Linked DNA regions of Rattus norvegicus. The protein of the gene in region 1 purifies or fractionates together with the protein of each later gene. This does not show direct contact. Links are inferred from orthologs where the notes say so. Each region holds a gene or a part of one and is shown in the gene's direction. Other genes may lie near its edges. The genes, in order: Hdac5 and Prkd1.

Region 1 (9,305 bases):
ACTGGGGAATCCTATTCCCCAGCTACCTTCCCACTGGATCTTCCCGCCCTTGCCTTCATTCAAACCCCTAAGGGTTGATTGCACCAGGTGGGCTCTAGAGCTCTGGCTTCCGGTCTTATCCTCGTAGGTCATAAAAGGGACAGGAAGAGGCTTGATGACTGTCCGTCATCCCTCAGTTCTGCTCCTTGCTCAGATGGGTAGACAGTGGCATTTGCTTGCTTTCTTGTAGCCATCTTTAGTCCCTGCTTCACATAGGGGTTGGGAGTTGACCCTTGATCAAGGGCACAGAGGCCACCCGGGGACACCCGTTGGTGGCTGTAGGGTTTCATTCTCTTGCAGCGAAAGGTGAGTTATTAGGGCTGTGTTCTAGTCACTGATGCTCCAGGTCCTCCTCACAACCATCCTGTCAGAGCTGGCAGGAGTGTGCTATAGCTGGAGATCCCCACCAGCTTGGCAGCTTCTGAGCTCTGGTAGGATAGGTCTTCTTGGTGACCTGCCTCCTGACTGGCTTTCCAGCTGCCCCCAGTAGGGGGAGATGCTGTCTTTCTGTGTATGGGAGGGAGAAAGAGGGGCACGGGATAAAGAACTATATTTTAAGACTGTTGAGAGGCTTAAAAACAGGGCTCTTTGCTTGTGCCAAGAGGTGAACTGCTGGGGCTAGTCCTTTGGTTTTTCCAACAGCTCCAGGGCTGGCTATTCTAGTGGGGTCCAGCTGCTCTGTGGCACAGAGACAACCTGTCTGCATTCGGCTTTTGCTCTTGAAGGGGGCTCAGCATCTGTTCTCCAAGTTCAGCTGGCATCTGGGTTGGGGCTTCCAATGCCCAGAGCCTGGAAGAAGCTGGGAACTATATGTCTTGGAATTCCACAAAAATAAAGTGACTTTGTTTTCAGAGACCGTAGGTGTCCACAGCGAAGTGGACAAGAGAAGCCCCCAAGAGAGAAAGATTTGGGGCCCCAGGATAGGCAACAGACAGGAGCGGGTGATGCCACCGATCTCTCCCTACATCCTGGCCCACTGGTCCTCTCTCCTTGGGGCATACAGGCTCAGGGCAGGCTCAGCAGGGCACTTTCTCTGTCCCTTGGTTCCTGCCAGCATAAGAACTTTTTGATTTGACACATCCTTGCCTGGCTTCACCAGTGAGGCTGGCCCATGGAGGAGCAGGACAGGAAATGGTCCATCGCTACTGTTCCAGCCGGAAAGTCAGCGTGCAAGTCCCTGCTGAGGGGCAGCAGGTGAAGACTGAGTGATTAGCTTCCGGGCCCACCACCTTGGCCAGTGGACACTCACTTTACATAGCTCCGGGCTGGGCCGCATGCCAGAACTTGACCCTGTCTACCTCTCTGGCCATTTGAGGAACCCTGCTTCCCAGAAGAAGCCAGTCTGTTTCCTTTTACCTTTTTCTTTAGGCAGAGGAGGACGCAAAGGGTAAGGCATTCTTTATTTTTCTGGAGTCAGTCCTGTCTGTACATTCCCTTCTGTGGGGCTGAAGACTTACAGAATTTGTAGCAGCTCTGGCTTGGAAGAGCCTCCCTGGGACCTAGGACCTCAACTGCCCTAGTTGTACCCTGTTCTCAGGGCCATTGCTTAGAGAGGGACAAGAATGTGGCTTGCCACATGATTCTGTCTAGATGTTTGTTGGTGGGGCCCTGGGGGAGGCATCTAGGTTCCTTATGCCCTGCGTGGGAGGAAGATGAGCTGGATGATAACACCTGTCTGCCCAGCACCTCCTAGCGCCCTCTATACTTTCTCTCCTTCCCTTTCCCAGGAGGGAGGGCAACTGCCCCCTCCCTTTGGGGTGACCAGAGAAACTGGGGCATGGGTGTGGGGTGGAGCCAGGAACCTTGGCGTCCTGTCTCCCTGCCTCAGGCTCTGCTGCTGAGCCCCTGGGAAGGCAGGCAGCCAGCCAAAGGAGGAGAAAGTGGGTCAGTGCTGGTTGGCATGGGCAGGGGTCTGGGGAGAAGACCCTTGGTCTCCTCTCCCTATAGGTGCCTTGGCAGATTGGAGTCTCCTTTCTCTTCCTCTGCTCGGCTTCCAGAGGGATTGAAGGCTTAGGACTGACTGGTGAGGAGAGGGGAAGTAGAAGATGACAAAGTGTGTGTCCACATTCTTCCTACAGTTGCTTTTAAATGAGGAGATTCAGCCAGTACCTAACTGTGGACCTGGCTGGGCCATACTGGCGGGTTCCAGCATGACTGGGCTCAAAGGAAGAACTACAGGGTACCAGGGTTGATGGTTCCCAGGCATCTCCCAGCCCAGGGGCTCTGGACCAGCTTTGGGCAGAAGACTTCTCTTCCCTTTTGGTCAGAGCCGCAGGCCAGTCTTTGGGCCCAGGAAATAAGATCAGGCAGAGCTGAAGGAGGCAGCAATGGGCTCTCCCTTCTGCTCCAGGATTGGAAGGGCAGAGCGTGGCCTTAGAGGTAGGGAGTAGAGGTGCTGCTGGGAGAACAGAGCTGGTTATGTAGCCCAAGCTGGGCTTGAACTTGCTGATGCTGGCTTAGGATGTGTCTCGTGGACTACACGCTTCGTGAGCACTCTGGGAGATTTGTGGGGTGGGTCTTGGGAGCGGTGGATGGATAGGAATGGAAAAGTAGGCAGGAGAGAGGGGTGCTGTAGCAGGAAAGCTTGAGGTTAAACATTAGGAAGACCTCGTTACATCATCTGCATCTCTGAAGAGGAGGGATGCTTGTCGTTCCTCCCCCTAGACCTGTCCCCGCACATTTCCTCAGAGGTTTCTGGAAATTGCGTTGAAGATGGGAGACCTCTTGCTAAAGTGTAGAAGTCATACCAGTGCTGGCTGTTCTCACTGAGCCTTTGAGTGCCCCTGTCCTCAAAGAGTTGTGAAGAATCCTCTTTACCAAGCTTAATAGTTTAAACCTATAGTCCCAGCAGTGGAAAGGTTGAATCAGGAGGCTCATTGTGAGTTCAAGGCTAGCCTTGGCTACAGAGTGGGACCCTGTCTCAAACAACAACAAAAGGGAGACCTCCTTTGACATCAGGCTAATCTAGGGTCCCAGGGGCTTTGCTTTCAATTTGTCATAGCTGCTGTCCTTCCCTGAGCAGGGCTCCCTTGTCTCTCTCCTGTGCCTGGGGCAGGTAAGAGTGTGCCAGGACAGGGCTAGCCAGCCCTTCTGGTTGTTCTCAGCGTGGGTGGGTGGAGCTCCGTCTGGGAGGGGCTGCTACCCCCGGCTTTCTGGGCTCCCTTGTGTCTGCCTCTGACTGTCCTTGGTAGAGCCTCTGGTCTTTCCTTCTCCTCTTGAGAGACCTCGTTGATCTGGATGCAGCTGGGGGAGGGGCAGTAGATAGGTGATGTTTTCCAGCACCAAGCCCCCGGATTGCACAGGTCTCCTGCCTTTCCTTCTAGAATCTGTCGTGACTCCTTGCTCTAGACTCCTCCCACTTCAGTTCCTAGTCTACCACTGGGAAACAAACCCCAAACCCCAGGGTCATCTGCATCTCACTAGGCTTGGAAAAGCTTGTTTCTACCACCACCCTGGTGTGTGTTTTCCCACCTGAGGGAGGAGGCAGAAGCTTGGAAGATGGGTTTCTGGAGTCACAGCCTCCATGTCCTTGGTTGGACTGCTTCTCCCAGGCTCCTGACAGGAGGGTGAGGTCATCCAGTCCAGAGAGAGGACAGGTGTCCCTGGCTCCGTGCCTGGAGTGGGGGGCAAGGAGGGGGCAGGAGGGGTCCAAAATAGTAACTGTGACGTCAGGAGAGGGGAGGAGGCTATAGACCCAGGAATAACCAGTCTATTAAAAGGCTCCAGTGAGGTCAGGGGGCCAAGTGGGATCTCTTTATCAGTGGGAGGCACAACTCGGGAAGAAGGGGGAGGTCAACAGTGCGTGGTGCTGGCAGTGGCATCAATTTTGATGGTTCGGTGGCCCCATGGCCCAGGAAGGTGGAGAGCTGGGGCTACTCCACCAGGCCAGGGTGCTAACAGCTTCATGACTAGCTGGAGGGCCTCCAACCCCAAGTCTTTCTACTTGGGCACTGGAGGTCCTGTCCCTGGGACAGATGTATATTCTGCCCATGAGTTATGGTGGTCAGTGCTTCAGACTTCTAGTCCCAACCAATCCCGTGAGCAGCTCTATGACAAGAGTAACTTTCGTCTTCCTGTAACTCAGCTTCCCCATCTTGGCCTCTTTCTGGTGGTCATTGTTAGCATAAAGGCAATGATGTTTGCGGTTTGTGGTGCTCTCAGCTGGGTACATTGCCAGGAAAGCGTTGATTGAGCTGAGAATGGGCTGGTGCTGACCAGTCCCCTGCCTGGGCTGGGCAAAGCCTACCCAGAAAAATCTCTCTGCTCCCTGAAAAGAGGCGGAGTGCCAGAGGTGGTACTAGAATGGGTGGGAGAGCTGCCACCCCACTGCTATTTAGGGTCTCCCTGATAGTAAGACTGTAGGGAGGCATCTCCCGGCTCTGTGGGAAGGCAGAAGTTACACAAACTCCACAGGCTGTAAGGAGGAGGTGTGAGGTTAGACCAGGTGGTTGGGTGTCTGTCACCTCTTCCTAGTCTTTCTGATTCCTTTCCTCTGCACAGAAAGGGGGAAGATAGAAGATCCAGGCTGGCTGCTTGCTGTCCAGTTCATTGTTTGCCCCCAGCAGCAGTGGCCAAAGCTGATCCCAGAAGCATGGGTCCTCTCCTGCACCTTTCTCTAGTTCAGCCACTGGCCACCCAGGTCTGTGGCCTTGGCCCTGAGTGCAGGCCTCCCTTGCCCCCCTCCCCCTTGACTGGCGCTTCCTCCTGGGGTGGAACGCGCCTCCCCCCATGGGGCCTCCGCCAGGCCTGGGCTCCTGGCAGCCAGCCGGCGGCTCCCTGAGCATGCTCCACCTATTTATAGACAGGGCCCTCCCCCAACTGCTATTTCAGTCTCCTGCCAGCTGCCGGCGGCTCATTCGGGGAGGAGGAGCAGGGAGCCAAGCCCAGAGCTGTCACCGGTGGCTCTGGGAGGGAACACTGAGAGAGTCTGCCTGCCCACTGAGCTCCCCTTCCTGTCCCTTGAGCACCCAGCCATAGCCCAACTCCTGGAACCTTTAGACGGACCTCGGTCCATGCTCCCGTAGTGGAGAACAGGCCTGCAGCCTCTTCAGCCTCCCTGCGCCTGCTGCCTCGGGAGCGCCCAGGCCGGATGAGGTGCCTCCTTGCCTTGTGGGTCCCAGCGGCAGTGGCCTGAGGGAGTCCTTGAGCAGCCGGCTGGCCCTGCTGACCACCTTTCCCTCACCGGCTTCCGCCTCGGGCGGCCCCTCCCTGGCATGCTGCTGGTGCCCAAGGCACAGGGGCTTGTGGAGATGCTGCAGACCATCTATGAGACCGAGTCCTGTTTCTCAGCAGATGGCATGTCAGGCCGGGAACCATCCTTGGAAATCTTGCCACGGACTCCTCTGCACAGCATCCCTGTGGCAGGTAAGTGGCTCTGTGTCCCCACCTGCCCTCAGCTCTTGGGCATCCTCGCACCTGGTTTGAGCACCCCACTGTGAGTGTTGCTCCCTCGGGGTTCTGCTTCAGCCTTTGAGGGTTTTGTTGAGCATCCATGGATTGGAAGAACTGAGCGGCTAGAGCAGTTTTCCTTCCCTCCTTGCCCAGGGCCATCCTCTCACGCTGCCTCCTAGCCACTGTCTCTCCAGTGCCTCTGCCTTCAGCAGGGTCAGCCTCAGCTGCTAGGGGCTAGGGCTTCCTAGAGAATTCTGGCCTAGTTGGACCATGGTCAGAGGGGAGGAAGTGGGTCAGTGACCGATCTCCAGGCTGCCTTGCTCTCCCCACCATTGAGCAGAGGAAGAAGTTGTACCTGGAGTACCTACAGGAATCAGAAGCCAAGCTTCTGTGGCTTGGTTTGACCTGGTCAGAGTGTAGTGACTTTGGCAAGTTTCTGGTCTGGAGGCTTCTTAAGAATGGACACTTAGGAAGAGGCTTGTTGGGATAGGGTTGAGCAGAGGCTAGCAGCTGGGGTGTTTGAGGGTTTTGGCTTAGTTCCTAGTCTAGTTCCCTCCTATCTCTTCCTTCCCGGGGCTGTGGCTTCTTCCCACTTTCTGAGGATAAGGAAGTGTTTCTTTGACCACAGGTGGGCTTGAGGACCTCCCTTGTAACCTAAGCATGAGGATTCCTTGCCCTGCCACCTTCTCTGGGGAAACTTTTTTGATCCTTGGTAGGGGGTGGGGTCCCCCCAAAGCTGGCCACTCCTTCGCTCACTCCCAGAAACCTGTTGCCACCAGGCGGGCAAGATGCTTCCTCCAGGGAGGGACTTGCTGGACCCATGCCTGCTTGGCCCCTCCTGGCAGTGGCTGGCTTGGTGAGAGAGAGAGAGAGAGAGAGAGAGAGAGAGAGAGAGAGAGAGAGAGAGAATGAGAATGAATATATATGTGTATGTGTGGATCTGAAGGTTTCAATTAGAAGGTGGGAGCTCTGTTTCTCTCTGGTGGGTACCTGTGATTTGGCTCTCAGCTGTCCAGGGATAAGACTTCAGTAGACTGGGCTGTGTCGGAAGGATGTTTTGGGAAGGTTTGGAAAATCCTTGGAATGTGATTTGCTGTCAGCTTGGACATAGATAGGGATGCCCGTCCATTCAGTGTCCTAGTATAGGGCATAGTCATGGAGACCAGCTCTGCAGTGTGCCTACCAAGTCCCCGGGATGGAGCCCAAGAGGCTGGTGCTTGTTCAGGACTAATGGAACTACAGCTCTGTCCTCAACCCCCAAACCTGGGCCTCTGCATGTTCATGGGAACTCCTGGGAGGTTAAGGGATGTAGAGCATCACCTAGGGTGGCTTCTAGCTGGTCACCCATTCTGCAGTGAGCTACCAGTTGGCCCCAAGTTCCTGCTGATTTCGTCTTCTTTGCTTTGGACACCAGAATCCCTGAAAGTTTGGGACCACATTCTTCTATCCCTGGATATATATACCCCAGCCAATCCCTCTCTCTAGATCTCCACCCCCCAGCCCCCCCTCCAACCTGGCCTTCAGAGTGTGGTGCAGTCCCTGCTGGCAGGAGGGAGGTGTGAGTCACCCCAGCAGCTCGGGGAGAGGGCTAAGAATGTTCCCCTGAGCAGTTCTGATGCTGTGTCTGTGACGCGGCTGGGGACAGATATAGGCCTGGAGCTTGGCTGCTTTTTTTTTTTTTTTTTTTTTTGGACTCTGGAATGTAAATAGTCGTTTCAAATAGAAACACTTTAACCTTTGGGTTAAAAAAAAAATCCTCCCTAGATAAACATGGCCGTGAGGGCCCAGAAGCCTGGTGTTTCCCTTCAGTCCCTTTTCCCCTCATGCACCCTCTCCTTCCAATTTCTTGAGCAGTCTCGGGACAAGGCACAGAAGCCTACAGCCAAAAAAGCCCGTTTCCAGGGGTGTGTTCTCGGATGACGTTGCTGGTGTCCCCCACCCAAGGGATTGGAGAAGGGGCCTTCTGAGATGCTAGCTCTCTGTCCCTTAAAGCAGCAAGTGCTGGGAACTCTTATTTGGGGGCAGCTTTTGTTTCCTCTGCTGTGTTGTTGGGTGCTCATTACCCCCCCCCATACACACACACCTAGCGCAGTGGGTGGTACTTAGATGAATGAGTGTTGGATGAGGGGGTGGAGGCCCAGCCCTCTGGCAGGATGCCTGGGTGCTATTTTGGGGCTTGACCTGGTGGCTGGATAGAGACAGCTACAGTGGGCACCTAAGGGTAAGAGAGCTCAAGAGGGGCAGAAACACTCACTTAGCTCTTCTTGATTAAGGAAGGGGAAAGGGACCAATTTTCCTCCCATTGCGTGTGACTGGCTGTGTCTCTGTCTGGCTACCCCGTCACTGCCCAGTGTGCAGTGAGCACCTTCGTATACTAGGCTCGGTCCTAGCTTAAGGCTCCTGGGACCTTTGATTCCACTGTGAGATTCCCGATGACCCTGAGCGGGGCTCCGACTTCCCCTTGTCCATTTCTGCTTGAGCTGAGCCCTTGGATACTGTGAACTGTGAAAAGGAATGGCAGAAGAGGCTTCCCTACCAGCTGAGGGAGGTACGGATCTGGTTTGTGCCAGGAAGGAATGCTCTGGATGTTGGGAAGTCCCATGAGGTTCAGGTTTGCAACCGGGGCTTTCCCTGGCTGTTCCTATTTAGGTTCGTGAGGCCATTCCAAGCATGGCTGTGTGTCAGGAATGTGTAGGTGTGGGGATGCCAGGAAGGTAGGAAGGGCAGGACTTGAGTGGAACTAATATTGTAATCCACGAGGCGACAAGGATACTCGGGACTTTCCTTACTGGTCCCTTTTAGGAAGGATGTTACCCACATCCCATAGTGGAGAAGGGTTAGAGACATGAAAGACTTTACCCAGAGCACAGATTAAGTAGCAGCTAAGCTTTGAACTCAGGTTTGTCTGGGTGGGGCCGTTGTTAACCCATACAAAACCTTTCTCTTAGATTAAAAAAAAAAATAGTCCTTTGTCTGGGTGGGTGTGTCCTCGGACCTAGTGTCTATGGCTTAGTAACCAGAGCATGGGCTAGATTTTAACTGTTTGTCCCTTCAGTTGGGGACCCATCTGCAGTATCCAACATGTACAACCTTATGTCCTTCTAAAGTCTGAGCTCCTAGAGAATAGGGCTCATTCTGGCTCCACTCCTGGGGTGTCCAGGAGTAGCCCCTCCCCCTTACAAATACTTGGAACCTCTTGACCAATTAACTCTCCCTGCGTTGCTTTGACTCAAAGGAAGACGAGCGCCCAAGAACGGAGTAAAACTGCTCTCCCATGCAGACAGCGTCTTCTGCCCCCATGGCCTCCTACCTCATCTTGTTTTTGAGACCCTCAGCTGTCCCTTCCCCTCTGTACAGCTGCCAGACAGGAAGTCAGATTAACCGTGTCCACACACAGCTGTACCAGCTGTCAGACTGTCAACAGGAATGAGTGCAGGCAGTCCGGGGACTTTGCGAGACAGCGGTTCTCCAGCTTTGAATTGCAAGAGAATTGCCAAGGAGATGTGGTCAGAGGCAGGTTCTGAGTGTGCAGGACACCTCGGGAAGCAATGTCTAAACGCCTCCTCTGGCAGTTCTGATGTACAGCCTGTTAGATGTACAGTGTGTTAGCGTCTGGGCTGCCTCTCAGGTTTCGTGGAAGGCCCTGGTGGGAGAAGGGTCTATGCAGAGGGCAGGCGGGCGGCTGTTATCCTAGACAGGCAAATACAATTCCCAGCAGCCTGGCAGTCTGGAGAGAGGATGTTTTGAGATGCCAGGAGCAGGTGTCTAAACTCACTGGGGGATAATGGCATGCAGCCAGGCGGACAGGGTGCCTTGCTGGACACAGAAGCCGGGGCTGTGCATGGAGAATGCAAGCAAGATCTGTCCTGGGGCCC
Region 2 (8,647 bases), on another chromosome or scaffold:
CAAAGGAATTCCAGTACAGAAAAAATAAATCTGCAGACAACTGGAATATCTGCATCATTCTAAGGACAGCCGTGGCAGGAGTACTGCATGGTTTTAGTGTGTCCCTCTGTGGCTGAGAGGTTTCAAAGAAACTGTGCCTTTTGGGAAGTGAGAGAGAGCACTGCTGACTATTATATCTTCTCAAGACTTAAACGCTTTGTTTAAAAGTTTAGCCACGCAGGTGTGTGACAACCCTGTAGTGTGTTTCCTTTCTTGACAGTAGAACCCAAACAGCTAAATAATATTGTTGTGTATACGGCTAGAGGAGAGGCATGGTCCAGAGTTTAACTAATCGACATTTGGTAAGAGTTTTGTACCCTGTTTTCCCATCTCTAACCACCAATAGGATTTACACCACATCTTTAGATAAAGAGACATGTGTACCTTACTTGGTCATTTATAATTCATACCTTCTTATGGGAGAGAAAAATTTAGTTCAGGACTCAAGTGAACACTATAACTTTCTCCTTGGGCCAGTTGGGAAATATTTAGGGCATATTTAATGTTTGGTTTAAAAGTGGTTGTGAGAGACACCAAAAATACATGCCCACAAAGGCAGAGCACTGAGAGAGCAGAAACCCAGTGACTATGTCACAGTGATGAGCTGAGGGGCCAGCTGAAGAGGATGTTAAGTGTCAAGTGCATTGTCTAAACTTGGAGCCATGGCCTTCCATCTAATGAAACTTACTTAGTGATGTAGCATTCAGTGTTCTATGGGGAGTAGAAACGAAAATGCCTAGCTGAATCTCAGGGGCTGTCCTGTTCTGAAAGATAAGTGCATACAAACTTTCTACCTGCTATAAGCATTGGTATTTTGTAGACTGAAAATCTCCTTTTAGCTTTTCAAGTGAATAAATGTTAATAACGAGAGTATTTTGCTATTCATTGTGTGTATGTGAATGGCAGACCAGGTACTTCCCAGGATGCTAATCCAGTGTCTCTGTTATAATTCACAGTCTTAAAAGTACCTATAGAAACTTGTCACAGTGGGATCATTAAATAGCTTCTTGAGTTAAATTGTGATTTGTTTTGGCCTAATGCCCTTAAATGTTTCACCATCAAAATCACATTCCCACTGAGAAACTGCACTTGTTTTTGTAAAGCACGTGGACTTTTAACGTTTTGTAACTTCTGTTTCAGAGGAAAAGGCATTACTGGAGACTGGACAGCAAAAGCATCACACTCTTCCAAAACGACACAGGCAGCCGGTACTACAAGGTGAGGCCGGCTTCTCTCAGTTTTGCTTCATGATATTCCTTAAGGTAATCTGGAAGTTGGTCGACATCCAGCAGTGTGACTATTCCTGGGATCCTGAGAGAGAGAGAGAGAGAGAGAGAGAGAGAGAGAGAGAGAGAGAGAGAGAGAGAGAGAGAGAGAGAGAGAGAGAGCGCTTTGAATTGGTGGTGTGCAGTTTTTGTAGAAATTCAGATGTGACATCTTGATTCATGTGCCATCTCACTGTTGCCAGCAAACGGCTTCTGGCCCAGGGATGCCAAAGAGCAGGATGACAGAGAAGGAGATGGAGGGAAGCTAAGGGAAGCATTTCAGCAGAGTTGCTTGGTTTTACTAGAGAGTCAGTGGGCACAACCAGTGACTAAGAGGAAAGCCTCACATCCTCAGACAACCAGCACTGCATGTTAGCAGGTAGAAAGAACCATTCCTCCGCCATTGCCAGCAGTTAAGAGGATCACATCCCTGCATTTATCATCAATTGTCTGCCTTTCTACGTTAAGTAATAAATGTGTAGTATCTAGTGTAGTCCCTGTGATCCTTCATGCTCCCTGTTACACAGCTGTGACACCAAAGAAAAGGTTATTACATTTTTAATTGAAAAACTAAGTTATTACTTTAGTTACTTTCTGCATCCCGCAGTATGGTGTGGCACTTCAGGTTTTCAATACTTAAATGATAAAAATAATTAGTTTGGGGGTTGGGAGAAATAGCTCATTCAATAAATTACTCACCACATAACCCTGGGGATCTGGGATCTGAGTTTAAATTTTCATAATGCATTATTGTCATCATCATTTTCATCGTCATCATCATCATCACCCAGGCATAGTCTAATATGTCTTAAAACCCTAATGTAGGTGCAGCAGACAGAGGCAGATTTTTGGAGCCTTTCAGTAAGCCCTGAGTTCATCGAGAGATCCTGTCTCGAGGATGAGTAATAGTGATTCAGGCAAATTATTTAAAAACAAAACTACTTTGTAAAGAAATTACTGTGGTTTTTCTCAATGAACACTCATCTATATAACTACATTATATTATCATATAGAATCAAAGTATATTTGAATGTGGTAATTCAAGAAATACTTGAAATAAAAAGCAGCCATGAATAACCAAATGCATTTTAGAAAATATTATAATTTGCTTCAAAGCTTCTATTAGGAAGAAAAGAAGGAAGGAAGGGAGGGAGGAAGGAAGGAAGGAAGGAAGGAAGGAAGGAAGGAAGGAAGGAAGGAAGGGGGGAAGGAAGAAAGGAAGGAAGGAAGGAAGGAAGGATGGAAAGAAAAGATGGAGAGAAAAGGGAAATTTCTCAGAAAGTGTAATAAGGCCTCTTGTTATAAAAATTTACATTTTATACATACTGTATATGTTATAAAATGTTGTCTGTATATTCTATTTGTAACTTCCTTTCTTACACAGCATGGGTTTTATTTAATAATTGACATGCGTTTGGCTAACTACGTTTATCATACTTTGTCTTCCACAGGAAATTCCTTTATCAGAAATTTTATGTCTGGAACCAGCAAAACCTTCAGCATTAATTCCCACTGGAGCTAACCCTCATTGTTTTGAAATCACTACAGCAAACGTAGTGTATTATGTGGGAGAAAACGTGGTCAACCCTTCAAGCCCCCCACCAAACAACAGCGTCCCCCCGAGCGGCATCGGTACCGATGTGGCGAGGATGTGGGAGGTCGCCATCCAGCACGCTCTCATGCCTGTCATCCCCAAGGGCTCCTCTGTGGGTTCCGGAACCAACTCACACAGTGAGTCCAATGACTTCCGTCTGTCACGGGGTACATACATATACTTCAGTCTGTCACGGGGTACATACATATACTCGGGCCCCTGAAGGTCGAGTAGGAAACCTCCTGCTTTCCCCAAAGAGACTCACTGTGCTGGCTCCGGTTTGTGGCACAACAAGGAATCACTGAAGAGAAGCTGCTATGCTTACTAAAATGTTTCATTTATTAAACTGTTTTACTTATTTTATAGTAGAACTTTTATAAAGCCAAGCAGAGCCTATATACTGTATGACCAAAGGTGCCCACAGTTGTTGTTCCTAAGAGAACCCGTACAGTCAGTTTGAGCGTCACTTGGATTGCCACAGATATGAACAAGATGTATTTGCCACAGATTCCCTCCTCCTCCTGTACCCGTGGTATAAACCGTTGTTCCTACTTGATGACCTTATCCCAGGAAGACATTTCTGTGCATTAGTAAGAGAGGGTCAGCCAGAGTGTAATCACGATGGAGTGCTGAAGGGGAATCTAAAGAAATGGAGGAGTATCTATATGAAATTATGATCTGAATTCTAGCATGCAACCTGCACATTAACCTGTTTTAACATTATAGTAGATTTTATCTGTCATAATTACCTTTTTTCTCCTCAGCCAGTATATTAATAGGATATGTGCTTATTCTGTCTAAAAGAATGTATCTGTATATAAACTAAGCACTTACTCGAAGACCTCTCTGTTAACTCCGAAAACCCCGTCCCTTAATGATTTGCCCACATTCTAACAGGAACAGTTCATCTCTAGAAAGTTAATGGTCTCTTAGCTAACAGAACTGCTGCATGGGACAGCCAGAGTTGGAAGTCTTCCTTTAGTCTGAGCTCTGTACTGACAAATGCATATGTAAAAACAAATTGTAGATACAATGTTTAATGTTAAGGGAACAAATATATTTTAATAGAAACTTTGCAGAAAAATCTAATTGCTGTGATGAATATAATATAGTAATATAAATGTAGCCCAATGGGATTTTTTAATATATTTTTACTATTTTATGTCTGTTTTTTTTTTAAAACATGCACTTCCAGAAGATATTTCGGTGAGCATTTCCGTTTCGAATAGCCAGATTCAGGAAAATGTGGTAAGTCTGTGTCTATTAATATACCTCTCAGAATGTGATTTCTGGAAAATAGAAAGTATCACATGATAGATTTTTATTTATCTAAATTTCTGTTTATTTTCTTTCATGATATTTTACAAAATCAGTTTACTGATTTTCCTATATTCTATAATATAGTACCAAACACTGTTTGTAATAAAAGACAGTTGTAGTATGATCATTTATCTTGTTTTTTTTTTGTATTTTGTTTTTGTATGTTTGTTTGGGGGGGATTTGTTTTGTTTTGTTTTGTTTTGTTTTGTTTTATCAAAATAGGATAAGTGGTTTACCAAGAGGCAGGCTTGGTAGTGACAGCTAGGAGTGCCACTGATCTACACTTGATACTTGAAATTTAATGGTTGGTACTGCACAGTAGAATAGATGCAGTAAAATAAAGTTTTTATTTGTAGACGTGTTTTAACATGCATTGCTTACCTCCTTGATAACAAGGCTTGCTGATAATGAAAGGGATTGTAAATATTCTTAGTCACATACACGTGCCACAATGCAGAGCTCAAAGACATTGCAGAAATCAGGAACCACAGTCAGCAGACTTTTCAGATTTCAGAGGCTACAGATCACGTTGTGAGATGTTTCATTTGAGGTTGTGTTTGTTTGATTTTATCTCAGTACTCAAAATGTCATAATGCCTCTTCCTACCTCAGTGCTGTAACCAACAGCATCAACTGCTCGCTCTACCTAAGACCCGAACAGAGCAGTGTACCCTCCTGTTTACAGTGACCTGAGGCTGTTTATCCAAAACCAAACTCCTTCAATGTCTGTTCAGTACTGCTCGTGTCCCTGGAACTCTTGATGAACTTGTTTAAGCTGAACAAAGGCAAGGATAAATTACAGGGAGGCAACTTCACTGTGAAGGTTAAGTGGACGCTTGAACTGTTCAGCCTGAGATGTAGGCCTCAAGACTGCAGGGTTCACCAGCCCTTGTTTAGACAGAGAAGACCTTGGGGAACACAGGTTACTGTAATGCTTCCTGGGTAGTCCCAGGGATCTCAGAGGCCTTTTACCTTGGTTGTCCACTGAAAGTTTTGAAGTGAATTTTCAAAGAAGTTCTAAAGAATCTGTTAGTTAGCTTGGCTGCAGGAAAAACAAAAAACCAGAATAATGATTTCCATTGCAAGAGAGCTTTGAATTCACCTTCTGAATGTTCCAAAGGGATCATGGTATACAAGCTTCCAAGTTGCTTTCTAAGAGAAGAGAAGGACAGTGGTGAGAGTAGATTACAGACAGGGGAGTGTGGCTGATTTTTTTTTTAACAATCAAGAGCTATAAAGTTGAAATAAGTGGAAAATGTGTTAGAATGCACCATACCATGCAAATAAAAAGATAAAACTTTGTAATGTTTCCATGAAGGTGCAATATGAAACCCAAATTAGCTCACCCTCCCTCCAGCGATTATCATTTCCAAGTGGCACTCTGTGTGGGTTATTTATGTAGTAACTGGGAATCCTGGAATGGTTGTCTATTGCTTAGGTTCTTATAGAAATGAAACAATCAGGAGTAGCCTGACTGTCCTGGCCTGAAGGTGAAGCAGGATTGTTACAGACATGTGATGAAGCCATGGAATAGTTAATGAAATTTCTAAATTACTAGTGTAGAAATAAGAATATATTTTCAGATATTTATAGTAAAATCCATTGATTGGTTTGAGGTTCCCCTTCTCTCTATTAAAATGCACCATATCCCAAGTACTTAAGAGCAGAATAGTTTTCAAAATATTATATGAATGCAATTTGAATGTTATAGCCATTGAAATCTTATCCAACATTTACAAGTGTTAAATGAATCTTGGAATATTTAATTATATTTCTATTCAATCAGCTAATAGTAATTATAATTGTAAAGTGTAACAGGATTAAAGCCTTCTCCCTATCTTTGTTTTCCTCTGGATATCTACCGGTAGGATATCAGCACAGTCTATCAGATTTTCCCGGATGAGGTTCTGGGTTCTGGACAGTTCGGAATTGTTTATGGAGGTGAGTAGGTTTAATAAATGTTTTTTATGAACTTAAAAGTTTAGGCACCTGGGTTATTATATTTCTGAGAAAATGATAAACAAGCAAAAGACACGTTATTTGTGTATCTGGGAGTCACCTTCAGAGAAGCTTCTTGTGAGATAGCCATTCTTTGAAAAACTCATAGATTTTTAGAGTTTCCTATTCCTGAAAAGCTTGTTTTCATATATATTTGAAAACCCTACTCACAGTGTTGCAGTAGTTTGAATTTTTGTATTTAAACAAAATGTTGTGGAAACGCAGAGGCTGTAGTTTATGAACAAAGCAGTTCCATTCTGTCAGCATCTTGGACTCGATCCTTACAGGTACGATGTGTCAGTGAATCTGGAATCTTTGAACTTTAACATTTTCCCTGTGTATCCAATTCATAGCATCTGAATGTTTTAGCTTTTCGAGGTCAATGTGGGTGTTTTTTACTTAGATCCTAGACAGTTCGGTCAATTTTTTCAAGCTTTTACATAACATTTAATTTTAAACTTTTGACTGCTATAGAAAAATGGTACCTTAACTTTTCTTTCTTTGGTAATTAACAATTGGTAATTTTTTTGAGTTTGTATTTTATAAAATAATCATGTCTAACACTTTTACTTTTCATCATAAAATTACAAAAGCTCTAAATACAGAATTTTCAAAATTTAAGTTGCTTTATTTTTCAAAGTGATCTTGATTCTTTTAAAAATATCAAACTGTTTTATGGAAACATAATGAATACTAATCACTGTAAACAAGAGTAGTAACTAATGCCTTAATACATAGTCCTATAATAAGAGAAACCACGTTAATCTATTTTCTACAATGTAATAATTGCATAGTTAAAATTATGTTCAATAATGTAGAAAATATATGTCACAGCACATAGGTGATGGTGAGGCAGGGGTGATGATAAGAAAGAAGAGAGAGCAGCAATCAGAAGGGGGTTTGGACATTGGATACTGGTGGACTTGAGAGACTGCGTAACAGGGTGGAGATCCCCAAGGAAGAATGGAAGTGTGAAGGTACACAGATGGAGACAATGAGGATAGGGTCTCAGAGGTGTGTGGTCTCCACAGCGACGGAGAAGTGAGCTACACGAAGCTCTCACTATGTCAGGAGCTGCTGCTGTAAACTGCTGAGTTCAGGTAGAGTCTGTATGAGTCAAGGCATGAGCATTGATGTTTCAAGAAAGTCAGACAATAAAACTGAGGGAATATGCTGATGAAGGGAAGTCATCTCGAAGGGAGTAATGAGCACCATGAGAACAGCATGCAAGAACAGAGGACTGTGGAAGTCAAAGGTGTCGACGGAACATAATTTCAAGGTAGTTTAAATGGCCAACACTTCTCACTAACTGCAACTGTTAACTTGCTAATTAATTAATTGTTTAATGTTTCTCATTTTTATCTTGAAGGTAAACATCGTAAAACAGGAAGAGATGTAGCTATTAAGATTATTGACAAATTAAGATTTCCAACAAAACAAGAAAGTCAGCTTCGTAATGAGGTTGCAATTTTACAGGTAAACCGATTCTTATTTGAGAGTTGTAAATTCCTCTCCTTGACTTCTGTAAAACAATCAAAAGTCATGCAGATACCTACAGCCCAGAAAATTAATGGCAGGTTAAGTGGAAAGGCAAACTGAGTCAGACTTAACTGAGTGGTACACTCCAGAGACTAGAAAAGTTGTTCTTTTTAATGGAATTATACTACACTTTAACATATTAGTAATATTCATTAAATAGCATATTTTCAGGGTGGAATGCTCCAAGCAATTTGTCTTAGATTCAAAATGACCTTACCTTCATAAACACTTTCCCTTTACATGAATGGGATTTGTAGCAGATACCTCAGAAATAGATTGTCTAGCTTTTCCTGTTCCCCTTCATATCTCGCCAGGTGAGTCTTTCTTTGATGTGAAAAATGTCACAATTCCCATTCACAACAATGTCTTGTAACACCAGAATATTTATAAGGCTTACTGTGTGTCTCATATGTTTAATTGTTTGACTCATGTTGGGAAATCAAAAGAAAATTGAGTAGCTGTCTGCCAACTGGTTAACATAGCTGTCTATTCAATGTATCCTTGATAAGTACAGGTTTTAATATACATGCCCAAAAGTCCTACTTTTATAAGTTAATATTAAGTTTTGATTCACAATTTTGTTTAAATTTTCAATTATGGATCGATAGCAAAGCAGTTTGCTGTTCTGCTTCTACTGTTTCATTTAATTCCCATTTGTTGAGTTTTGCCTGTAAATGTAACAGATTTAGTTTTGTCCAGGCTGGGTAGTATAAGCCTATAGTTTCAGTAAGTAGGTTAGGCTGACACAGGAGGATTTCTAGGTGGATACCAACTTGGATTACATAAGGAGACCTAGTAAGAGAAAGTGAGGTGAAGAGAGTGGGAGAGAGAGGGAAGGAGAGAAGGAACTAAAGGAGAAAATGACAACCAAAAACTAATGCCTTCTTGTATGG

The links.
Region 2: the proteins of Hdac5 (region 1) and Prkd1 purify together in Homo sapiens (affinity purification with western blotting; 4 studies listed by BioGRID, with this or other methods). This does not show direct contact. The link is inferred for Rattus norvegicus from reciprocal best matches to the Homo sapiens genes HDAC5 and PRKD1.

Annotation. Positions count from the first base shown.
Region 1 is NC_086028.1:87,671,980-87,681,284, reverse strand, and holds the start of Hdac5 (histone deacetylase 5), read left to right. Parts: upstream 1-4,715; 5' UTR 4,716-5,252; coding exon 5,253-5,403; intron 5,404-9,305. UniProt on the Homo sapiens protein: Responsible for the deacetylation of lysine residues on the N-terminal part of the core histones (H2A, H2B, H3 and H4).
Region 2 is NC_086024.1:73,502,931-73,511,577, reverse strand, and holds part of Prkd1 (serine/threonine-protein kinase D1), read left to right. Parts: intron 1-1,179; coding exon 1,180-1,257; intron 1,258-2,755; coding exon 2,756-3,035; coding exon of another isoform or gene 3,036-3,065; intron 3,066-4,093; coding exon 4,094-4,146; intron 4,147-6,085; coding exon 6,086-6,158; intron 6,159-7,584; coding exon 7,585-7,691; intron 7,692-8,647.